Arabidopsis thaliana: one gene and its partners. The protein of the gene in region 4 binds, or shares a complex with, the protein of the main gene of each other region. Each region holds a gene or a part of one and is shown on either strand. Other genes may lie near its edges. The genes, in order: NRPE5, NRPD1B, RPB5E and NRPE7.

Region 1 (6,285 bases), on a different chromosome or scaffold from region 4:
AGGGGCACTGCTTTCCAGAGATGCTGAAAAAAACAACAACAACAAAAACAAATTTATCAATATTCTGTTTAAATGATGCAGAAGAATAGCTTCAGCTTTCTTGTGTCAAAACCAGTGCTAAGTCTTGCAGCCAAACGAATATGTCAGGCCATAGTTTTCACAGAACAAGATAGGAGTACTACTACCTTCAAGCATGGCTATTCCACGTTGAACATCTTCCGTTTGACGGGAATGAACAAGGGCCCATGACAATCGCATCAAGCACTCTTTCTTAAGATCTTCAGTGCCAGAATCTGTGGCCTCTCGAACCTCTCTTTCACATCCCTGCACATCAACACAACAGAGTTTAGCAGATGAAGCTAGACGATTGAAGAAGATACAAAGCTATCAAACAAAAAACCATTGATGCTGTGACATTTGGTAAAGTTCTACACAGCTATCAAATTCGGATCCAACATAAGGGTGCAAAAATCAGTAATCACGCTCATTTGAGGACGAATTTTACAGCAACTCATGAACTTCTAAAGCTCGATTCAATCGAATCCAATAAAAAAATATCCTCGAGAAAGCAAATCCGATTTCAGAAATTTCCAAGCAGAAACACGAAAACAGGTCTAAATTTCTGCAAATGGTTCATGATTCCATTTGCCTACAAGAGATGGTTCATCTTCTTCGGAAACATAGGCGGAAAAAAGCGAAACAAATGAAGGATATAGAGAAAACTTACAGCGATGACATCTCCGTCGCACCATGGGATCTTATCGCTGCCGCTGAAGAAAGTACCGACGGAGTCAAAGAATTGTCCGATCTTAGCATCCATTGAAGGCGATTTTGAGCTTTGATTGATGAGGTTTTCGTTTCTGGTCTCTTTCTTAATTCTTAAGGAGAGTTTCTTAAGGAGAGAAGTTGGACTTGTTGCCCAAGCTCAGGGAAACAGACGATATTTATCCCTTGAATTTATCAACAAGACCCCTGTATTGTTAAGACTTACCCACATTGATCACCATATCTTCTGTTTTGTTATTAACAACCCTTTGGAATAAAAAACTTCTGTGACATGTGATGGTGTATTACTGATTTTTTCCAATAAATTTACAAGATTCATAACAACTAGATAAGAAAAGGAAAAAAACTGATTTAATCTTTCACGATTAGATGTTTAACGTGGAGTTTTAACTCAATCAAGCAGTTATTACTATTGATGGTTTGTAAAAGTAATTTCTATTTTTTAAGTTATTAAAAATATCTGAAGCAACAAATTTCATATTTTAGATCATAGTACTTTTTTGTTGTCGATTTTAATTTAGGTGATGTATTTTGTTTAATTGAATAACAGTTTAACGTTAAAATACATATATATTCATGTCCATAGAAAATACAAGACTTATAAAAGCATCAAAATAATCGGAGAGATTTGCTGAAAGTTTGCCACTTCTTCAAACTCTTTGGATCAATATCACACGCCTCTTCTTTTCTTCCCCTGCCCATTTTTTTGCTACAATATCTAATTGGTTTCATCAGATTTTTTAGTATCTTATTCAGTCCTAGTCGTCGTCGGGCTTGGCTAGCCGGAGCTGCTGTATGTATCGGGGAATCATCGACGACTGCACTGTACATCAAAGAGAAGCCTGACTCAGATAAACTTCGACCAAGCAAGGCATTGTTGAGGTGAGCCTCGAAAGATAACCGCTCAAACCGATCCATCAATGAGCTTTGATTGTCCTCGAACCTCTGAAGAAATGTTGGAGTCTCCATGGCCTGTTTTTGTGTATTGATAGCGTGTAGTGACTGCTCTTTGTACGGAAAACATAAATGGTAATGTTTTCAAGAACAAGCAAAGGATCTTTTTTTTTTCCTTAACTTTTTTTCTTGTGTTCAAAGCAACGGATCTTCTAGGATTAAAAACAAAACCTTAGAAACATACAAGTTATTTTTTCCTGAAAATAAGTACACAAGATGGTTTTTAATTGGTTTCTTCACCACACACATCGGAAGGCAACATGCGATTCCGTGAGTTCGCCTCTGTAATTCACCTTCACAACTTGCCCTTTCTCTAATCCGTAGTACCGGACGATAGCATCTTTCTTTGAAATCCGAGGAAGCTGTTAAATAAATTTTGGGATGAACGGTTCAAAAAGTGAGACTATTACTTTTATTTAGCTGCAAGAAATGGATAATGGACCTGTTTTTCCTCAATGCTGAACTTCTTGAGAAGTGTTGTCTTCTCTTCATCATTCAACACCTGATGTTGTGGCTTCAGTGAATGTTTGGTTATGTTGACTAGCAGATCCGTTATCTTAACAAGACAGCAAAAAGGAAACTAGATGTTACAGATTTGAAGTACTAACCAAGAAAAATTAGATTAGGAAAATATATAGGTGTACCAACCTGGAATATCTCGACCTTGAAAGAAAAAAGTTCAATGGCTTTCAAGGCTTGATTGGTTACATGGTTTTGCAGAACCAATATCAGCCCAGTTATGGTTTCTTGGCTAAGTATATCCGCTACTACACTGCGGATTGCGTTGACTTTAACCATACTAGTACCAAAAAAGACAATTTTTACCTGAACAAGCAAAATCACAACACTTCTTGAAGCAGACCCTTTAAACCAATAACACAATGTTACTATATCCAGAGAATCACTATGAGATATCTGTCGTTATGCCATAAGACTAGAGCTGATGCAAGAAACATCATGAGTTGAAAATAGAAGACATTTATAAGTAACAAAAATCTTGTAGCAATCAATATATGAAATCGACTAGTTGAAAGCAGGTGACAAGCATGTCTATAAGCATACAAAAAGAGGTAACATGAACCAAACAACCAACAAGAAAAGGGGTAAGATTTTCAACAAATATCCAACTTAACCGTTCTTTTGCAGTTCAATCTCATTCTAGAATTAAACATGGAAACTTGTAGCTATCATCAGAACTCGCACATTTGACATTGACCATACTCTAAAGATTGAAGAGATCACTCAATGAATTGTCCGAATGTTCAATAGCCATAGGAAGAGATCTAAGAATCACTTTGCTAGTTGTTACCAGAAACATTTCACATTACAAAAATTCAGAGGACAAACAAATGAGGTATGCTACTTGATAAGGACAATAAAGTAGTAAACTTTAGTCATCTGAATCCACAAAAGTAGCAATTCAAACTTCAATTAGAAGATAAGAAATTTAAAAGAGTCACAAATTTCATATTCCATCATCTTCTTCACTGCCAAACAGTAAACCCCACAACATGCAAAGACAAAAAAACAGCTAGAAATCGAAAAATCACAACGAATACGAAAATACTTCGATATACCTTTTTGGTAGAATCGGAGCGATGCAGAGCGGAGATGCGAAGACGATCAACATCGGGACGTTCACCGTAAACAGTTCGAAAATCGTGAAGGGAGAGATTGATATCTTCGTCGGAGACTTCGTAGCCTCTGTCTCGGAGCATCTGCAAGCCATTTCGCCGCGCAAGATAGTATCTATGACTCTCTTCACTCGATAGATCCACGTATTTGCTCAGACACAGAACCGAAGCTGTCTCTTTCCCTTTCACTTCCATTTTTGTCTCCCTTATCTGAGCAAAAGTCGTCGAGTCCAGTGATGGGATTTAAAGGGAGACTAAACGTTGTCGTTTTAGGATTTAAGAACAGAAGGAAGAAAGCTAATATAGGTGAGCGAGCAGGTGACATCAATCAATCAAACTACATTTGTGGTAATGTTGCACATATTTTTCATTGATAAAAAATACCTTGCAAACAAAGCAAATCATTCGGCTATTATGCGAATTATCAATCATCATCTACCATTTGATGTACTTCATATAGTAAGAATCATTTAGTTCAAAAGGTCAAGAGCGTAAATGGAACAAAAGAACACAACTCATAAGAGTAAATAATAAAAGGCTTGAGCCAACTTACTTATTTGAATATACATTACTAACCAAATACCATGTTTAGTCAATCAATCTATATCCCCTTTCTCACACACATCTTTTGATCAAACTGATCACTTAGAGACAACACACACGACAACGCACCAATCCATTCTCATTGCATTTAGGACACCGCTTAAACCGTTCATCTTGTTCTTCAAACACTTTGGTGCTACCATCACAGTTAGTACAAGGCACAAACCTTGCATCACCACAGCTCCGGCATGTCCCCAAGCGTTCACAAGCAGGGAAATCTTTCAACATCTCTGCTAATTCACCACCATCATTTAGCTGCATAATCTCCTCCACGCCACCAATGTGAGTTCCTCTGATAAACACCTGAGGCAAACAAACCGGTTTCTCTGCGGCGCCAAGCACGCTTTGAAGCTCTTTCCTGTATTTGGAATCCATAGAGATGTCACGTTCGTCTACGGACACTTGAACTCCTCTCAATATCGCTCTAACGCAACAACAATCCTCGTATGTCTTTCGAATTCCTCTGAGGGTTGTGAAGTAGAGTACAATCTTGTCTTCTGTTCCTGGTAATCTCGGTTTGGCTGGTGATGAAATCAATTGACTAGAGGATACAGATTTTGGTTCTTCGCTTATTAAGATGGATGGATTTGATGATGGGCTACAAGAGAGAGACTTTGTGGGTCTATGAGGGTTTCTAGTATTACTATGATTGCTTAATAGCTTAGAAGACAAAGCTTTCTTGTAGGATGAGACAATGCTGGGATCTAAATCAGAGAGAAATGATTCTTCAGACAAATGCTTCCACAAAGGTTGCTTAGGTTTATAAGTCAAAGGAACCCAATCTCCATCGTCTTCTTCGATTCTCACAATCTCGTAAGATTCATCCAATTTCAACGAAGACCCATTTAAACTCACATTCCGATTCGGGTCGGGTTTAGAGCAAAAATCCGAATTTAGACGCTTACCCGGTTTGGGAATTTCGAATTCGAATTCATCGTCCAAGCCATCCATAAGCTCCCAAGTGTTTATGACTGAATCAGGAGAGACCGGATCTGGTGTGTTCTTCCCGGAGATTGAGATACGAGGCAGCGTTTGTTGGTCGGAAGAGGAGTTTTTGGATCCATCGAGATCAAGGAGGAGAAGAGAACCGTACGATGTAGATGTAAGGGAAACAAGGTGATGAGAGTCGCCTTTTCTCGCCGGAGGATGGTGAACCAACGGCGTCGGAAACGAAAAAGCTCTCTGCACCGCCGGTGAAGATGAATCGGAGCTGAATTTGGTCGGCGGTGGAGAAAACGCAGATGAGGAAGAAGCAGAAGAAACGGAAGAAGCGGTCTTTGAAGCAGAAGAACCCATTACGAAATCGAATTTAAAAACACTGACTTTAATGAATAATAGTTTTTAGTTTCTTTGCTCTTTCTGGTTTCTTCTGAGATTGTTTGGTTATCTCTGGGAATGATAGAGAACAGAGAGAGAAAAGAGAAAGGTGGAGAATAGCTGTCTAGGGCAGTTGAAGGTGGAAGATGGTGAAATTTAATGGCAGAAGAAAGAAACGATGTTGATGTTGATTTTCGGACACAACAACAGTTCTCGATTTGATTTTGATTGTGTAACCAAAGCTTATGTATAGAAGAAGAACCAAATTCCAAGAACTTTCCTTCACTGTCTATAAATTGAGCCAAACGTTTTTAAAATAATGAAGAAAAATAAAATATTAAAGAAAAATGTCATTATCTTCATAACTGCAATCTTTAATTCTTTATGATATTTTTATTAGAACTAAACGAAGATTGGAGGAGAAAAAAGGTTGATCAATCAAACAAATATTGACATGTCAGTTCCAAAAGATTTTATAATTAATTTTGGGGGTTCACAATATACATCTACATCTAAATTTTAGTTGAATTTATTTTTGCAATGCTTTATTTCTAAATTGCTTTTTTAATTTACGTCTTTGAAAATGTTTATTCCAAAATTTATCTTTTGAAATTTGCATTCAAACAAAATGTTTTGATATGACTCTATCTAGATATAAATATTAAGAATATATAAATTAAAAATATTAATTTTTATATCTACATATATTAAAATTTAATTTTAAAGTAAAAACATATAGATAATATTAAAGGTTTGAATGATAAATTTCAAGATAGGACCTAGACAGAGTATTCACGTGAATAATTTAAATCCTTGACTTTACGGAAAGTTTCTATATCTGACCTGTTATTAACTTTTCTTCTACCATAATTTAATATCATCATCTCATTGAACTCTTCCTTATTCATTTTTATTCATAATCAAACATTTTATTCATTTTGATTGATCTACACATACCTTTTTCTATTTCCTAAGATGATGTTTTGCAGTT
Region 2 (6,404 bases), on a different chromosome or scaffold from region 4:
AGTCTTCCAAACTTAGACTAAATCCCTCAGCAAACAGACTTTCCATCAATAGAGGCTGCAGCGAATCAAAGAATCCAAGTGTCTCCTTTGGACCCTTCTCCAGGAAGATTGAAGTTACAATTTCATTGATGATGGACCCCATCGCGTCAACCCCGAAATCAAACTTCAGCAAATCACTTCCATCAACCAGGAATCTGTCTCCTTTGCAACTCAGACGTTCTGGAAAGGCAAGCTGTAGAATCTGGAAAACTGTCCAAGCTGGGCCAGATTTACTGGACTTCCTTAGTGCTGGTGGTGGCAGGGACAGAGAGCCATACATAGCTAACTGTTGAGCAGTTGCCTTGTCCAGAAATACCCGCTCCAGCATTACCCTCAAAGACAGTAAAGAATCACTACCCATCTGCAAAATCAGCTGTCCAGTATGTGAGCTAAGCAGTTGCTTCTCCACAGAGAAGAGCTCCATAACCTCTGCCTTAGCACTAAGAGACTGAGGGTAGAACAAATGGACACAATCACCATCAAAATCAGCACTGAGGGGGCTACACATCAGAGGGTTAATCTTCACGGTGTTGTCTTCATGAACATACACCCGAAGCGCTTGAAGAGAATGTTTATGTGTTGTCGGGGGTCTGTTGATAAACACAACATCCCCATCCATGACCCTGCGATGAACAACCTGCCCGGGTTTAAGCTCAGTGTGCCCCTTGGATCCATCCCTTAAAGAATAGGTCGTAGAACCTTGAGTATAACTCAAACACAACTTGTCGTCTACCAACTTTTGTAGATAACCTCTATTGTGGACACTAACCCTTTCCTCAAATGTGATTCTCTGCGCAATTTCTATTGGGATCCCTACCTCATTCACATGTCGGTAAGCATCTCCAGTGATGACGCTACGGGAAGAGAAACCTGAACCCTTACGGATGAAAAGTGTTCTCATTTTTTCTGTCCAAGCTTTTGAAGATGAACTATCCGAGATCTTAGACACCCCGTATCTCATATCAATGTTTCTTGCCGCTTTTGCAGTACCCCTCACCTGGAGATAGGTATCCACCACTCTAAACATCTCACTGGCTTCAGCCTTATGCGACTCAAAGTTTGTCTCGCCAGACCTAGAGCTTTTTATGGCTATGACTTTCTTCAGAACGTCCTTTAGCTCAATTCTGGAAGGATCCTGAAAATAAGAATGACACAAATCCAGGGGTTACAACACAAGCCAAAGCATTCAACTCAACATAGTAATTTAGTTTCAACTTACCACTGACATGGTGCTGAAACCATCAGAAGCCTCTGGCACTGACAAACAGTTAGGCGGGACAGGAAGATACTCTAGTATGTATCCTTCTTGAGGAATATGTCCCTTTGCCGTGAGTTTCTTTCTTGATTCTTCGGGGATCCGTCTTAGAATTTCCTTAACCTATTTGTTTTCCCACCATATGGAAAAGGACACGGAAAGTACATAATCATCAGTTTCCAGAAAGAAAAGATCTTAAAGATAGAGAATGATTCCAAATGAACAAAAAGAACGTCACCATAAAATCCTACATAAACAGAAACATAAACACACAGAAGAAAGTAAAAACCTCTCTTGCCAGCAGGGGACGCGTGTAATCGCTTCCATAGCGATAACCATATCTTTCCAGGAAATTCCAGCAACCAGGCTGCAGTCTTGACCTAGATGGGAGCTTCAGTTCTAGATATGAGGCACCATCTGATGCTCTATCTTTGATTGAGATTTGCGAAGCTTCCTAATAAAGTAATATAGTAGTTAAAAATCCAAGACGTTCAGCAATAATAACATCCAAAATAACATAAAGCAGTGAATGTTTCATGATGCCACGAAAATACCAATAGCTACTGCTTCACAAGCATTGATTAATGTTACTTTCACTGAATGGATCAAAAGAAGCACAAATACTATTTAGATTTGAATTAGCAAGTTTTCTAACATGCAACTAGTTGAAGGAAAACTTAGAAAAACTAACTAAATGCTGAACCAGGTTCACATAAGAAACATCTATCAACTTGCTTTCAGGTAAAACTTAAAAGGAAACAATCAGAATGTATATGCCATTACTCACCTCACAACAGACACCCAACAAGCGATCCGCCAGACCACCACTTGTGCCCTGTACTCAGAAAGGTGAAAAAGATTAGTCGAGATTTTATATGGTTTATTTATGTGTGGATCACATGGAATTTAAGAAAACTCAATGAGGTAATACCTTTGCCTTCTTTATCTTCAGACATTTCAAGCACAGAAGGCTCAGCATTTGTTTCAACTCATTAACATGAGCAGGATGGTATATTGGCACTGGAAGCTGAATATAACCAAAATGACCTGAAAATGTAGAAACAAATACCGATATCTGAAGAAGTATTCCAACAAATGATGTAAGAACAAAAATATAGCAACTACGGAACTGGATTACCTTCACATTTATCTGGTTCTGTCGCACCGCAAGATTCACATTTACCAAATTCAAGAGGTAACCCCAAGAATGCGTTAGTGAGTTGACTGGGATGATTAATTGCGGATTCACTAATCGATTGAATACACTGCAAGAAAGAATTACAGTCCAGTGAGAAATGGAATAGTGACAGAGGATATATCGCAGAACAACATTTATATGCAAAAGTGTAGCACTTAGCATCACACAGAGCTTGAGTACAATTATAGTGAATTTAGTGCCAAAGATAACCAAAACATAGAGGTTTTAGCTATTCGAAATCCTTCAGTTATGTAAAACCCATGATAAACATTGATGCAGAACAAGATGGATCAATTCCAGAGAGTATAACTCTTATAACTTACTATTTCATGGTGACTAGCAAGAGCAAATGTGATTCCAACAATCTCTCCGTCAAGAATCTCTGATGTAGATTCTTCCTCCATGAAAAAACCCTAACGAGCGAAAATCACACACCAGCGAGACCGAGTTAGCTCTTATCAGATGTAAACAAACAGAGAAACAAAGACATTTGAGCTCACTAACTTGATACAAAGAAAAATCAAGTCTTTGAAGAACAAGTTCTCAAATCTGTAAAAGATACAATTTTTATACTCGTTTACACAAAATCGAAGCTGTAGTAACACACAGTGAACCAAAAAATCCGAACTTTCAAACCTAGAGTAACCTACATTTGAAACCCATTTCGGAGAAACCCCCCCCCCCCCAAAAAAAAACACGGCGGAGTCATGATCGAGCTCTTTTCCCGGAAAAACATCTAAAGATAAGAGTTGGGTAAGACGAAAATACCTAAGAATTCGATGATTCAGCTGCGTATTTGACCCGTTTTGGTTCCTCAACCGGAGAAGAAACGAAACAGCGGGAAACAAGGGTTTTTGCAGGTGAGAAGAGGGAAGAAATCTGAGTGAGAGTGAAAATGGCGGACTTTTTCTTAAAAGAGGAAACCGAGAAAGAAGATTGCGAGAGAACAATTTTGGAGTGACTCTACTTTTCTCTCTCAAAAATCTTTTGTTCTTCTTCACTCTTCAGCTTCCGTCTTTAAAACCCACATTGCATGCAAAGGGAGAAATATTTTCAGTTTCGTTATTAATTAACTAAAATAAAAAGGTATCAATTTTAATTTTTCTTTATTTGTCAAACAATTGATAACACTTGGGAATATGCAATGATGATGAAAATGATTAAAACAAATATTTATCCACATATTATGCAAGACCATGTCAACAACCATTGACAAACTTTTTTTTTTTTTGAGAAGAATAAAGGATTTCAAAACCATAGAATTAGCAGTGAAGCAAAACATATAAATACTTCAAGTAAACTATTTTTTGGATTCGATTTTGGTGTTGTATATTTGATCGATCGCCATAGATGACCGTTTCCGTTTGTAGTACGCTATGTTTGATGCGATAAAAATCTAGCGGGAACGATGTTTTATAAAATAATGGTTATACCAAAAAAACGGTAAGAACTAAGTGGATCGACTTGTAAAAAAAAATTTGAGATATTTTTTGTATTCATGAATTTGTAAATAGTTCATACCAAAAAAATGAATATGTAAACAGTTGACCAATCAATTAAAGACAAAAAAACAGCTCTTTTGTCTTCAAAAATTATATATAAAATGTTAAAGTATTTTTTCATTTTATTTTGTTATATATTTGATCGATCACCATAAATGAACTTTTCAATTATATATTGATGCGATATGAATATGAAAGGAACAATGTTTTCAAGAGATAAACTTCGTTTTTATCCGAAAGAACGGTAACCAATGCTCATATCAATTTATAATGAAAACATGGAGAAGGTTAACAATAACTCTTTTTCTTCATTTATATAATTTTGTTTACACATAAATGAAGAACATGAGTATAAATTTAGGAAAATATTTTGTAAATAAAAAGTAAAGGGTAACTCCAAAATGAAGTGACAGATGATATCATACCATATTCATCACTCCCTTTTAGAGTTGAGAATATAGTGGTATTAAAAGGATTTTTTCTAAATTAGTATTTAGAGTGAAATTTGGAATATAATTGGAGATGCACTTATTGGCTCATGGATTTAAAAAGGGAACAAAATTGCATCAATTTCTTTCTATTCAGGAGGAATTAAGTGGAAAAAAATTTCATTCCATTTATTGTAAAAGTTAGCAAAAGTTGTAACCAAACGAAATACAATATGCTTCCTCTCTCAAACTTTTCCGCTGATGTGTAAAATACAAGTCAAGCTATACTTGCATTTAAGTTTATATGTACAAAAAAAAGTTTATATGTACAAATCAAAAATCAAAAGAATATGAAGTACCGGTTGATATTGGTTCTTGCATTTAGAAGGTATAATTGCAATTAAACCGACTTTCAGATTTGGTCTAACTTTTAGACTGGCTATTCAATTTACTTTAGAGGGATTTGGTTTCCACTTTCGACATTGATCTTTGGATAAGTGGGTTCGGGTACTATTGTATGACTCATACAACTACTGATAAAGACTATCTGCTTTCTCTACTCCATCACAAATTATTAAAAACCAATATCTCAAGAGATGTTAAGATGGGTCGTTTTACCTTTTTTCACCACAATACTATAGCTTACTACTACTATTTGGCTTCCTAACATATATATCAATTTGCTACTTACAGGAGCTCCATAGCTCCTTTACTTGTCCCACCTCATCTCTTTCTTCCTCCTCTTCTGTCCACGTACTTCCCTGAGAAGCTCTTGAAGTTCTTCACAAAGAGGTTCTGGAGTAAGCTGAATGATCTCATCATCATCACCATCACTATCCTCCTCTGGCTCCGTCTCCTTCTCCTTTGGATCCTCTGGCTCGGTCTCCTTCTCCTCTGGATCCGTTTCCTCCTCAGGATCCGTCTCCTCCTCATCAATTAGCCATCCACAATGAAGATTCTCCACACCTAATCAATTATTTTGACCGCAGTAAAAGAATGTTTCATTTCTTATGTTGAGATTGGTATGGATATGAGTAAAAAAGCTTTTATTACCTCGAACAGAACTTTGTGCATAATCTGATGATGCTTCTCCCAAATGAATAGCTGCTGGTGATGGGTCATTGACTGCTTCGCTATTGATTGATAACTCATCAGCTTGGTCTCTTCCATACTCAATATGCATGTCCTGCTCCTGCTCCTGTATTACAAAAGATGGATCATGCTGCAAGTTACATACCATTTGGGTAAACCAAGTTCAAGAATTCTGTCAATGGTTTCTAATAATGCCAGCAAAACGAATCCCAACAATGGAAGCAACAGATTTGTGAACCTGCACAGAAAGAGAACGAGAAGGAAGAAAAACAAATCACCTTCTCTTCTTCGTGTATTTCCACAGCCAATTGATTGGGTTGTTCTTCCTCAGCCATCTCTTCATTGTGATTCTCAGGCAATTGGTTGGCTTGTACTTCAGCCAATTGTTTCTCTTTTTCCTCTTGCTTTTCAAGGCAGATAGCAAGGAGGGGACCATAGCTATCATCTTCAATCAAAAACCATTGGTCTTCGTAGACCTGAAATCCAAAGTGGGTAAAACGTTATTTTCAAGTTGCAAGGAAAATGTTATCAACAACGGAAAAATGGAGACCCTAAAACTAGCGAACAAACCTCTAACAGTTCCTTAATACTCTCACTGATAACATGCTCATGAAACCCAAATCCTCTCATGCGATCTCGTGCTGCATCCTCTCGCATCAATCCAGCCTTCTGCAAAAAAGCAAAAGAAAAGTAGCAATTTAAAAGCATAGAAAAGAGAGATAATCATAGAAGGAAAAAAACAAGAACACCCATCATAAAAAGAAGTATTTGTAAACTTATCTCATCAGTGTTCTCAACGTTGAGTACACAGAAGTCGTAGAGAGAAACAAAATGTTAACTTCAACAATCATGTCATTCAAATACTTCATCTATATAGTCATTCTACTCTA
Region 3 (5,735 bases), on a different chromosome or scaffold from region 4:
TGCACGGCCTTCAACAATGACACCACAGGAAAAACTAGAAAAACTTAGACGCAGACAGCAAATGCAGGCAATGCTTGCCATTCAGAGACAACAGCAGCAATTTTCTCATCAGGTGCCTGTAGCAGATCAATCCATTACTCAAAACTGTCTCCAAGATATTCCACTCCAGCTTGTCGACAAAACTAATCTCCAAGGGCTAACTGCAATGCCTTCCTTTGATCCTAGTTCATCTTTGGAACAAGATGATTCTGGCAAATTTGCTGCTGCTGTTGATAATTCAGCAGAATTCGCAGTTCTTTATCGGCTTCAGGATGTTGTAGCAAAGGTACTCAAATGGTTGATTGACTTGTTATGTTTGTGTTGGGAGTAAACTAATACTCTTTATTGACCTGCAGTTGGATATGGGAACACGGACTTGTATACGGGATAGCTTATTCCGGTTGGCTGGTAGTGCAGCTCAGAGACATTACACTAGTGATACATCCCACAGTAACAAGACTAGCCAGGATGACCAGGAAGTCATTCCCAGAGAAGAATCCAGATATAGGTAAGCAAATTTATGCGTATTATTCAATATGGTTAACTTCGTACTTAGACAATGTAAACTAGTAAAACTACAAGCATACTTTTTCGTAAATGGGGGTTAACCTTTTTAATAAATGCTACCGAGTTCATCATCACTATCAATCAAATTGTGGTTTACATAACTAGCTTTTGTATTTGATATTTACAGATATGCTGGGATGCCAGATACAGAAGCAGTGACCAACCCCACAGACAGAACTGTGGCTCATTTGCTCTTTCATAGGCCTTTTGATATGTTGGCGGCAAAGCGAATGGAAGGACCAGAATCACCCGCTTCTTCGAAGATGGGAACTGAAGAAAAAGGGAATTTTCCTAAATGCAGCATACGAGAGACTCACTTAACTAAGCAGAAAGCTCAAAAGGAAGAAGGACCTGCAGATTCACTTGCTTTGGGGAATGCACCCAACTCTGGATCTAGTAGTACTGTTGGTGAGAGGGTTGTTGAAGCATCCCAAGGAAACAAAAGAAAATTGTGAAATTTAGAAGGTTGTTATTTCCATACTATAACTCTATAAATCGTTTCCATGCCCTTTTGTATACGTGCATAGAGCTTGTATACAGATTGTAACTAATACGCAGGTGTTGCTTTTGCTTTCAATCAGTTTAGGTTGCCGTGTTAGAGAGGAGCTTTGGGTATTTCTGCAGACTAGACAGCATCTTTCTGCGTCTCTTGAAACAATCTCCTGACTGCTCCTTTCTTGTGAAGCTCTTATTCTTGTAATTAGATTTTTTTTTTTTTGTTACTTTTCGAAAACCTCTTTTGTTATACGTATCTCCATGACAACTACATTTTGGAAAACGTGTAGTTTGCAATGTTTTTCCCCCATTCGAAACCAGATTCAATCTCTTAATACAATTGTAAGCACACACCAAGGACACATAAAGTACTGTTTTGAGGAGAAGAAATAGGTAACAGGAGTGTCTTAGTTAATCATAGAGTAGCTGCAACGAATTTGCCTTTCTTCAGAGTTCAGATGATGCATCGGTATGTCACAAAATCCCCAACAGGCTCTTTACTGTATGTAATCTTCACCACCTGTTTTTTCTTTAACCCATAGTACCTCACAAAGCTGTCCTTCTCCTGCAAATAAGGAAGCTGAAATGGAAAAGAAACATCCATTAAAACATAGCATACACAAATAGGCAAAGAAGCTTTGTGCAGAATATAAACAGACCTGTTTGTCCTCAAGTGCATGCTTCCTCAGCAGTTGTTCTTTCTCCTCTTTGTTTAAAATCTCAATCTTTGGCTGCTGAATGTGCTTTGTGATGTTGACCAACAAATCTTCAATCTGTTGGCATATTCAATAAGTATAAACATGTAACTGTTCAGTTAACGTATTTCCAATTCAGGTCTCAATTTCATGATCCTCAATAGATATCATGCAAGACAATCCAAATCCAGAGCTATAATGTTTCATCATGTAGGAAAACAGATAAGTGCTGACCGGGAAAGTTTCAACTGTAAAAGGGAAGGTAGTCAATGCCTTCTGGGCAAAGTGGTTCATTTTGCTCTGTAAAACCAGAATCATAGCATGCAAGCCTACATTGTTGGAAATCTGAATATGAAGAGCACGAACTGACTTCACGGTGATTGGTTCAGTTCCCATGAACACAACAAGGATCTGCATAAAACCATTTCAATAAGCTTAATGAAAAACAGGTAAAAGCATGAGAATATGTCTGGTTACATTCTCATCTCAACTAGCTGTTCAAACATAACATTTTAATGACACCTTAATATGATCCCATCCTTTCCCATTATAAAGTTAAAGCAATATGCCATTCGTTACAACACAAGTACCATGCGAGGAACCTTACTGCTACAACAAATTTTCTTGGTTCCCAAGAAAAAAATGGGTATGTATTAGTTCTTCAGCTTTTCCAAAACATATACCAAAAGCTATAAATTAAACAGAACAAGACCAAACGCAAACCACACATCATTGGAAAGAAGAAGATAAACCCATATACTTCTCAGTTCTCACTAGTCTTATCCTAAAAATACCCTATAATTAAAAGTTGAAATCTTTTTGTTGTATTAAGGCAAATTTAAACCAAGGTTAAACCCTAAATCTAAAAAGTCGACGCATTTCTCAAATTTTCTTCTGTTTTAACGCAAACCCAAGCTGGAAGCTCAAAATCGATAAAAGTTTAAGCGTTTTACACATTTTTTTTCTCTTTGAAGGCGTTAAACCAAAATGCAAACCCAAAATCTAAAAAAGGTGATGCCTTTTTCACATTTTCATCTGTTAAAAACAAAAAGTAACACCCAAATCGAAAAATAGCGGTGGAACAAAGAAAAGCTGAAACCTTTTTCTTGGGATCTGAGCGAAGAGGAACGCAGATACGGAGGCGTTCAAGCTCAGGCTTCTCACCAAAAACAGAACGAAACTCAGAAAGAGTGAGAGAGAGCTCAGCTTCATTAACTTCGTAGCCTCTATCGCGAAGCATCTCAAAAGCTGTCGTGCGAGCCAAGTAAAACCTCTTGCTTTCGATTCCTCCGGTGTCCTCAGTCTTCGAAATACAGTTGGTACCGTCGTCAAACGTCGACTCAACATTTTCACAGCACCCTTCTTCGGCCATTGTCTCCTCCATTTTTCTCCTCTGTCAATTTCAGAGTTTTGCTGTTGGAAGAGAGAAAGGTTTTATGAGTTTGTTTTGTCACAAGAGAGAGTGTTGTTTGTGCTTGAGACTTCTCGGCTGGCCCCTTACTAAAATACATCTGGACTGTCCATTGCATTAATCAACCAACGGTTACGATTCCTCTCTTTTTTATTCAATTTTACTTTTAAGAAAACTCCAAAAAAGCATAACCATAATGTCATAAAGACATGTTTTTGTTGGACCGGACATAACCAATGTCGAGATGACGTCAATGGATAGTTGAGTCGGCTGTTATTAACGACGGCGACGAGTTAGGGTTCATACTTCCTAAAGCGGCCATGGAGTTACATGAGATCTCAAAGCTCGACAATAAGAAGCATCCAGAGAGAATTGTTGAATCGAAGATGAAGAAGAGAATGAAACCTTATTCTCTCACGTCTCTTAACAATCTCGACGATGGTTGCCTTATGCATATCCTCAGCTTCCTATCTCCAATTCCAGGTAAAATTGGTTTCTTTTTCGCATCTATTACTTTGGTTTTCTCATACTTTTATACTTCTTTGTTCAATTCTGCTTTTAATTGTTTCGTTGTTTGTAATTCATTTAGAAAATTTGACCAACTGTTTCACATCTTAATGACGGTTCTGTGTCTCAAATTTACTACTTTGAGACTTTGCAGATCCTAATCAAATCATAATTGAATTCAATTCTAATCTCCATGATGAATTATCTGTTTCTCTTGACTTGGTGTGTATGTGATACAGCTTTGTAGTAATGTAACAGAATCAGCAAGAAAGCTTTTGACTTTGTATTGAATTGCTATGTTTTGATCTGTATGGTGTTGTGTGAAGCTTTGAAAATTTCGTATTTTGTTTGTATGATTGACTTGGGCATTTGTTGCGTACTACAGTCTGTTTCAATGCTGTTTTGTGTATCTCTTGTGAGTTTGCAGATAGGTATAACACAGCACTCGTTTGCCACAGATGGAGATATCTGGCGTGTCACCCTCGCTTGTGGCTCCGTGTTGACCGTTTTGTCAAGGATTTATCTCAGCCTGGAGTTTTCCTCAACATTGAGTCAGCTGTATCTGCAGCAAGGTTTGTAATATTATCAGTTACGTTATTTACACTTCTTTGTTATTCGTAAAAGGGTCCATAAATCTAACCAAATTGTCACCTCTAGACCCGGCGATACCATTTTAATAGTAGCCGGTGGGAACTATCGCGTTTCTAATATTCAGATTAAAAAGCCTCTTTGCCTGGTATGTCTTTCAAAGAATATATGTCTAGTGTAATTGCTTGATATTTCTGAAAGAATCGTTTATAACTTTCTCTAGAAATGGCAATGTGAAATTGGTCTACTTTCACATGTTTCTTGAGTCTTGCCAAAAAAAATTAGACTTCAAAAATCGCAAGTAGTGAAAAATAATTTATAGGACTTAGTATAAACCATTTATACCAACATCTGTGTAGTATCCAAGAAACATGTGAACATATGGTAACATATCTATTCTCATGAGGATGGAGATTCCATTCCATGCCATAGGTCTCGGCATCTGAGATCAGTATGCATTGAAGAGATCCAGAGAAAACAATGCCACGTCTTAGGTACCAAAATAGAAATGAAAGATATCTTAAGCTTGCACACAATTACTTTCAATGCCACAACTGGAAACTAAGCACGAGCTGTTTGTGACATGGACGTTTTAACGAGTGTTAAAGAACTAGAACTTGATGACTAAAATTTTCTTTGACTGTCGTGAGAACTCGAAAAAAAGAATTCAGTTCGACTTCAAAGTCTTTTATGCACTTGCCACCTACCTATCAGTAATGTTCCTTTTCTCATACTGGGCAACACATGGAATGACTGTAAGCTGTAATGAAAACTATTGAAAGTAGACCTTGGTGTATGAATTAGGATGAAAAGATAGAGTTGCAGAAATATGAGTGATTTATCATGAATGTATGGATGCACACCCCTAGAATACCTCAGTGTAGATTAGGGGTTGGCTTATCAGTGTCCCTAGTTTCAGTTAAGTGGAAGAATGTACGCCTTGAGGTTGAAAGGAGTTCCTAAGCTATTGAAAGTAGATGCCTTGAGGATGATGTTGATACATAAGTCTCAATGTTCGATAGTAGTCTCAGTTTTATATTATCTTCGCTTTGTTCAGGTCGGTGGAGGCGAGATTCCTGATGAAACCACCCTCGTCTGTGCTCGTGGTTCAGACAGGTTTGGAACTCATATTCCCTCTTAAGACATTTCCTCTCTACAGTTGTTTTCAAAATTCTTTCTGGGAGGTTTTAGCTTCTTAAAAGTTGTTGAATACCGCATTTCCCATTGATGTTTAAAGAAAAGGAAAATACTTTGGTATACGGCTTTTTGTTGTTGGGTTTATTGTGCAGTGCCCTGGAACTGTTATCAACCTGCAAGCTTGCGAATTTAACAGTAAAAGCAGAGCTCGGGTGCTGTTTGCTTCATAGGAGTGGAAGGCTAACGATTGATGGATGTGTGCTTCAATGTGAGACAAACCCTTTGGATCATCTCTC
Region 4 (5,409 bases):
TCGATACTTATAATTTGGATAAATTTTGAATTAGTTAGCATAACAACAAAATCAGAATGATCGCGTTTGCATTAATTCAATGATAGCTTGAATGAGAGACTATATAATGGACTTTAATCATCTTGCATTCCAAACTATGGTTATACAGCTTTTGCTTTTTTTTTTTTTCTTTCTTTTTTTTTCTTCCTCATACAGCTTTTGCTTTTATTAAGATAAAATTACAAACAATAATTGATCAATCTTTTTTTATAAATATCTTAGTTCACAATTTGCACTTGTAGAAATTTTTTTATTATTATTTTTACATAGATTTTCACAAAACTAAGTAATTAGTATCTCCTTTTTAGTTTTTACAATACAATCGGACCAAATCATTGTTAGAATATAAGAAATAAACTCTTACATAAATAGGTACTAAGCAAATGTTTCTAAGTGTACTTTGGCTAGAAGACAAGATTTACCTTGACAAGTATGTTGGATCAGGCCCGACTCTACACATGTGCTGGAGGAGCTGAGGCACAGGGTCCACCCAAAATTTCTCTTTTTTTTAAAGTAAATCTAGTACAATTACGATCCAAAAAAAAATTTACATAACAAAACACAGATATGTGAACTAATTTTTTTTCCAGCTCTGGGTCCTTTATTATTTTGAGCCGACCATGTGTTGAATAGACAATAATTATGCATCATAATACAACTCAATGTGAAACACACGATCTTCGAATTTGCTGAAAATATGAAAATATGATGAAAGTTATTTCCCCAACAAACACATTTGCCCAGTAAACCTTGTTTTCATATACCTCTATTTGGTATCTTAAAACAAGGTATTTTCATAAGTTGAAAGTTTAGTTTGAAATTAACTATAAAAATATATAAAGCTTTCGTGGGCATGTTCTTGCAACTTGGCATGTTTTTCTTGATGACGTGGACCAAAAATAGTTTGATAAAATACATGCAATTACTATCTAATTGTTATCAAAGTGTTTTTCAGATACTTCTTTTTATCGAAATAAAATTGTTGGCTATTAGCTAAAGATATTAACTAAATAAATATTACTATTCGATTACCGAAGGAAAGGAGAGTCGGGCCAAGAACGAGTATTAACCAATCCTGTGTCATCCACAAATCCAAACATTGAAAATTTTTTATTTAGGGTTTTAGACCTGCCAAGCAATCACATTCTCATGTGATTCTCGTGGGCTTTCTTTCGTCTTCCCAAACTCAACGATTATTGGGTTGGGCTGTTAGACTTTGAATTGACATAGCGAGCAAAAGTAGCAATATTCAAAGCGGCACCGCTTCAATCGGCGCAGAAACAGTCACTGGCAAAAAAAAACTCATACGCCGCTTCGAAATCTGGAGACCTGTTGAAACTAGAGATTTCTCGATGGTGATGAGTGATGATTAATCCATAATCGTGCTCTGAGATTGGTTCGGTTAACTTTGGTTTGAAATATTTCTTATATATCCGGTTTGACTACGATTTCAGAGTCTAATTCCAATCTGAGCTTATCATATGGAAGAGACTCACAAGCAAGCAAAAATCATTACCAATACAAAAAACCTAAATTAGACCAATCTTTCCTCTTGAAGGTGAAGGATTTCATTACATTCAAAGATCAATGTTTTCATTATTTGCACAGCTAGAGAGTAGTTACTAGTTACTACCAAACATGAACTAAAGCCGAGTTATATAGACATAAGAGATTGCCCAAAAACGCCATCACATGAAGAGATCAAGCAGATCACTCTTCAGATAATGGTCCAAGATAGTCACCTTCCAAGCTAGCCAACGCCTGAAACTCCCTCTCTACTTCCATCCACTTTATCCCAATCACAACAACCCTCACTGTAGTCTCAACCTGAATCCTAGACGTCTTCTCATTCATGAAGATCGGGTTCTCTCCAGGGATATACTTGTAATCCGGCATCTTCGTGTAGGAGAGGTAAACATTCTCGATTGGACCACACCTCATGAAGACACCGTGCTTCAACACCTTGTGCACCACACCGTGAATTATCTCTCCTTTGAAGATCTTGAAAGTCATTCCGCTGAACATTACCGGGAACAAAACTTCACCGGTGTGCTCCCTGATTTTGCCTTCTCCAATCTTGTCCAAAGTTGTGACTGCCACGTAGTAGCCAAGCTCCTTGGTTGCTTTCTTGGAAGCAAACGCCTCTAGTAACTCTACTAGTATAGCTCTCTTCAACATCAGCCCTTTGGCATCCATGTTTTCAGCTGGAATCATCACGTTCCATGGTAATTGGACTTTGAGAAACATTGTTCAACCTTCAAAACCAAATCAAAGCAATGTCACATAGCTATCATCATTGATCCAGAGAATAGAAATACTTTACTATCATCACATTCTTCTCAAAGGAAAGATATGAGAAAGACTCTGGAAAAAATCAAAACTGAAAGATCACAGAGAAAGGAAAAGGAAGTAGACAGTAATTTCCAGGTTTTTCTCTGAAACGAACATCTAGGTTATACAAATCATCATCAGTAACCTAAAGTAATTCATCCATAAGATAAGATCAAAGTTTCTGTTTTTATAAGAATCTGGACACAATGTAGACATGCATTAGCAAAATACCAATTTCATAACTCTACAGTACTCAAAACAGAGATTCAGAAATTAGTTTCACATTACATATCTACTAAAACGAACACTAAACAAAAAAAAAAAAAGAGCTTTTCACTAAAAAGTATTTCTCACAGGCATTTAAACAAACACTACGCAGGCATGTAAGTAAACAAGTAAGAGTCCTCAAAATTCTATCAAAAGTTACCAACTTTAATAAACCCACAAAAGCTTTGTATTTGCATTTTACGATTAAGTACTCAGACCATCACTTTTTCCACATTTTCTCGAGCAACCCATGGACCAAGACCTTAAGACTGAAAATAGCTGAGAAATTGATTGAGAAAATCAACAGAATACTGAACCCATGCCTTTGTTTATAGATTCCTAAGATATCAAACGAAACGAGAATCGGCAATAGAGAGTGAAAACTGGTTTTGGAGAATCAACGATGCGAGAAGCGAGAGTTTGTTTTGTTGTTTCAAACTCTCTATCGACTGAGAAGTAACACTCGGAGACTTTCAATTTTGGTTTGTTTACATGTCGATGGGCTGAAAAGACCCATTATTACTGAGACTATATTATTATTGGCCCATTAGTATTCACTTTTTCTCTATTTTCTTTTAAATATATTTTCAGAAACTAATTAATTTTTCATTTTAAGATTACTAATTTCATATATTTAAAAACTTTGAAAATTTGATTCTCAAATATTTAAAATTAGATTAAACTTTTTAATCATATTCGAAAATATACTTTTTCTTCTCTAAATTGATAGAAAAATACAAATTAATATATATTTCCTTTTAATTATTTAATCTAATTAGATTAAAAAAATATCTCCATTGAAATCTGGTCGTCTGTCACGTGTTGTGATTATGTTTTTTTTTTACTCAAACATGCTTCTCATATTAAATAGGGATTAAAATCCCGGTATAATGCGTTTGTGATTACATTAGGAATGAGGTTGTAAAAATGCGACAAAGCATCAGATGGTATTCTATGTTTCGCTAAGATATCCGCCGCTTTGTTGTGATCTCTTCGAACCCAAGTAAACTGGCAGTCATTAAACTTGTCTCTCCAAATGCGTGCTTCCCTAATCCAATTAAAAATATTGAAATTGTGTTGCCGACCATGAAGCAGTTCCACCACTGTTTTGTTATCGCCTTCAAAACATACTCTTGTATATCCCTTAATCCAACAGCTTTGCATTGCAAGAATTAGTGCCTGAAATTCGCTTTCCATAGCTGTGTTTACATGTCTTCCTTTAGCTTGACCTGCACCTCTAAAGGTGCCTCTGTCGTCTCTAATCACCTATCCTGCACTAGCCGGTTGTCCGTTGATAAAGCTACCATCATAGTTGCATTTGATCCAGTTTGTATTCGGCTTCATCCAATGATATTCGCCTTGAAAACCAACGTTCTGAAATTGCGGAGGGTTCGTCATTCCCAAACTTCTTTCATCTTGATCATGCCATTCCTTTGCATCACTTCGAGCTTGTCGTATTACCTTTCGCCATGAAAAGTTCCTTTGTTGAAAGGTGAGGTTGTTTCGTGATATCCATAGTCTCCACAAGATCCAAAGAGGTAAGTGCTTAAGATGTGGCGTTCTTGTCCCCGTGTTACACTTGAGGATCTCTCTCAACTTTTCTTCCCATGGGGTCCGTGGGTCATAGAGTAACCTGTTTGATATTCCAGAGCCTCGCCAAACAGCTTTCGCATAGGTACAGTTGAAAAATAAATGCTCTGTTGTCTCTTCCTCCATACAACATCTTCGACACCTAAAGAAACGGCTAATGTGATTATGTTAATTACTCATTTTAAGAAACAAAGTTTTACTTAATAACCTTTTCCCCTTTTTAATAAGGTTTTCCCTTTTTTATGTAATTTTCTTATTTTCATTGAAGTGTATCCTTTTTAACTATATACTTTAATATAAACGTTTTACTTTTTTTGTCAAAAAATTGTATTTTTCATTTTTATGTTAGCATAGATCAAAATCTAATTAGAAGAAGTTCTTTACATGTATCAAAATCTCATCAATTGATTAACACATGTCATAAAAAAAGAGAAAGATGGAAGGTCATGATTTCTTCTAATCTCTTTTTTACTGTTTCTTTACATAAGATTCTTATCTTTGAATTTACTAAGTGTTTTGTATTTGGCAAAAAAAAAAACTAACTAACTCAAAATAAGAATTTACATTGAAAAAAAATAAGAATTAACATTTTTTCAATAAATATTTTACAAATCTCCGCTAGTTTCTTAGTTTCAACAATAAATAATAAATATAGATGAAATTTGATTGTTTTAAAGAATTAAATTTATTTCCTATAATTTATCACAACTTAGTTATTTGGATTTAGGGTTTCTAGTTTTTCAGAAATCAGAAATCAAAATTCATAAATTTTCGACGGTTAAGGTAATTTGATTCACATTTCAGCTTTACTAATGTGTAATTTCAAATTAGTAATTAAATTTTCTTGATGTCGACATACCAAAAAAAAAGAAGTAGATAAGTCAAATTATATAAGAAGGGAAACATATATATTACATTAACTAAATCAGAGAAAGTATTTTCTTTCCCAAATCCTAAAAGGTTTTTCTTGAATCTATCTTTTAAAAGAATCTAGATCATATTCGTTTATCTGCCCTGTTTCTCTGATATTATATATATTGGATTTATGATTTCTTCTCACAGGGTTAAGAGAAAAGATGAATGATCTGAAATTTGACCCCAATGTCAAGCTTATACTTGCCTCGGCTCGATCACATGCCATGTCATTGTCACATGGTCAAGTAACTCCTCTGCATCTCGGAG

Evidence for each region.
Region 1: NRPE7 (region 4) and NRPE5 share a complex: the UniProt entries of both Arabidopsis thaliana proteins name them as parts of the RNA polymerase V complex.
Region 2: NRPE7 (region 4) and NRPD1B share a complex: the UniProt entries of both Arabidopsis thaliana proteins name them as parts of the RNA polymerase V complex.
Region 3: NRPE7 (region 4) and RPB5E share a complex: the UniProt entries of both Arabidopsis thaliana proteins name them as parts of the RNA polymerase V complex.

What each region holds. Positions count from the first base shown.
Region 1 is NC_003074.8:21,123,162-21,129,446, reverse strand, and holds NRPE5 (Eukaryotic rpb5 RNA polymerase subunit family protein), read right to left. Parts: upstream 3,611-6,285; 5' UTR 3,570-3,610; coding exon 3,318-3,569; intron 2,566-3,317; coding exon 2,389-2,565; intron 2,297-2,388; coding exon 2,183-2,296; intron 2,103-2,182; coding exon 1,977-2,102; 3' UTR 1,372-1,976; downstream 1-1,371. Other genes in the region: BIGYIN (Tetratricopeptide repeat (TPR)-like superfamily protein), read right to left, coding at 1-23, 186-324, 728-820; AT3G57072 (uncharacterized protein), read left to right, coding at 3,611-3,748; AT3G57070 (Glutaredoxin family protein), read right to left, coding at 4,020-5,273. UniProt on the Arabidopsis thaliana protein: DNA-dependent RNA polymerase catalyzes the transcription of DNA into RNA using the four ribonucleoside triphosphates as substrates.
Region 2 is NC_003071.7:16,711,581-16,717,984, reverse strand, and holds the start of NRPD1B (nuclear RNA polymerase D1B), read right to left. Parts: upstream 3,526-6,404; 5' UTR 3,261-3,525; intron 2,906-3,260; 5' UTR 2,897-2,905; coding exon 2,816-2,896; intron 2,560-2,815; coding exon 2,433-2,559; intron 2,342-2,432; coding exon 2,226-2,341; intron 2,130-2,225; coding exon 2,082-2,129; intron 1,749-2,081; coding exon 1,584-1,748; intron 1,418-1,583; coding exon 1,259-1,417; intron 1,175-1,258; coding exon 1-1,174. Other genes in the region: AT2G40020 (Nucleolar histone methyltransferase-related protein), read right to left, coding at 5,132-5,388, 5,476-5,620, 5,793-5,990, 6,085-6,222. UniProt on the Arabidopsis thaliana protein: DNA-dependent RNA polymerase catalyzes the transcription of DNA into RNA using the four ribonucleoside triphosphates as substrates.
Region 3 is NC_003074.8:20,171,118-20,176,852, reverse strand, and holds RPB5E (RNA polymerase II fifth largest subunit, E), read right to left. Parts: upstream 3,249-5,735; 5' UTR 3,181-3,248; coding exon 2,896-3,180; intron 2,208-2,895; coding exon 2,031-2,207; intron 1,875-2,030; coding exon 1,761-1,874; intron 1,682-1,760; coding exon 1,556-1,681; 3' UTR 1,391-1,555; downstream 1-1,390. Other genes in the region: AT3G54500 (agglutinin-like protein), read left to right, coding at 1-325, 396-547, 734-1,061; SKIP5 (SKP1/ASK-interacting protein 5), read left to right, coding at 3,528-3,690, 4,142-4,286, 4,372-4,450, 5,360-5,418, 5,592-5,735. UniProt on the Arabidopsis thaliana protein: DNA-dependent RNA polymerase catalyzes the transcription of DNA into RNA using the four ribonucleoside triphosphates as substrates.
Region 4 is NC_003075.7:8,404,751-8,410,159, forward strand, and holds NRPE7 (RNA polymerase Rpb7-like, N-terminal domain-containing protein), read right to left. Parts: upstream 3,142-5,409; 5' UTR 2,961-3,141; exon of another isoform or gene 2,802-2,960; intron 2,295-2,801; 5' UTR 2,287-2,294; coding exon 1,750-2,286; 3' UTR 1,497-1,749; downstream 1-1,496. Other genes in the region: CLPB2 (casein lytic proteinase B2), read left to right, coding at 5,304-5,409. UniProt on the Arabidopsis thaliana protein: DNA-dependent RNA polymerase catalyzes the transcription of DNA into RNA using the four ribonucleoside triphosphates as substrates.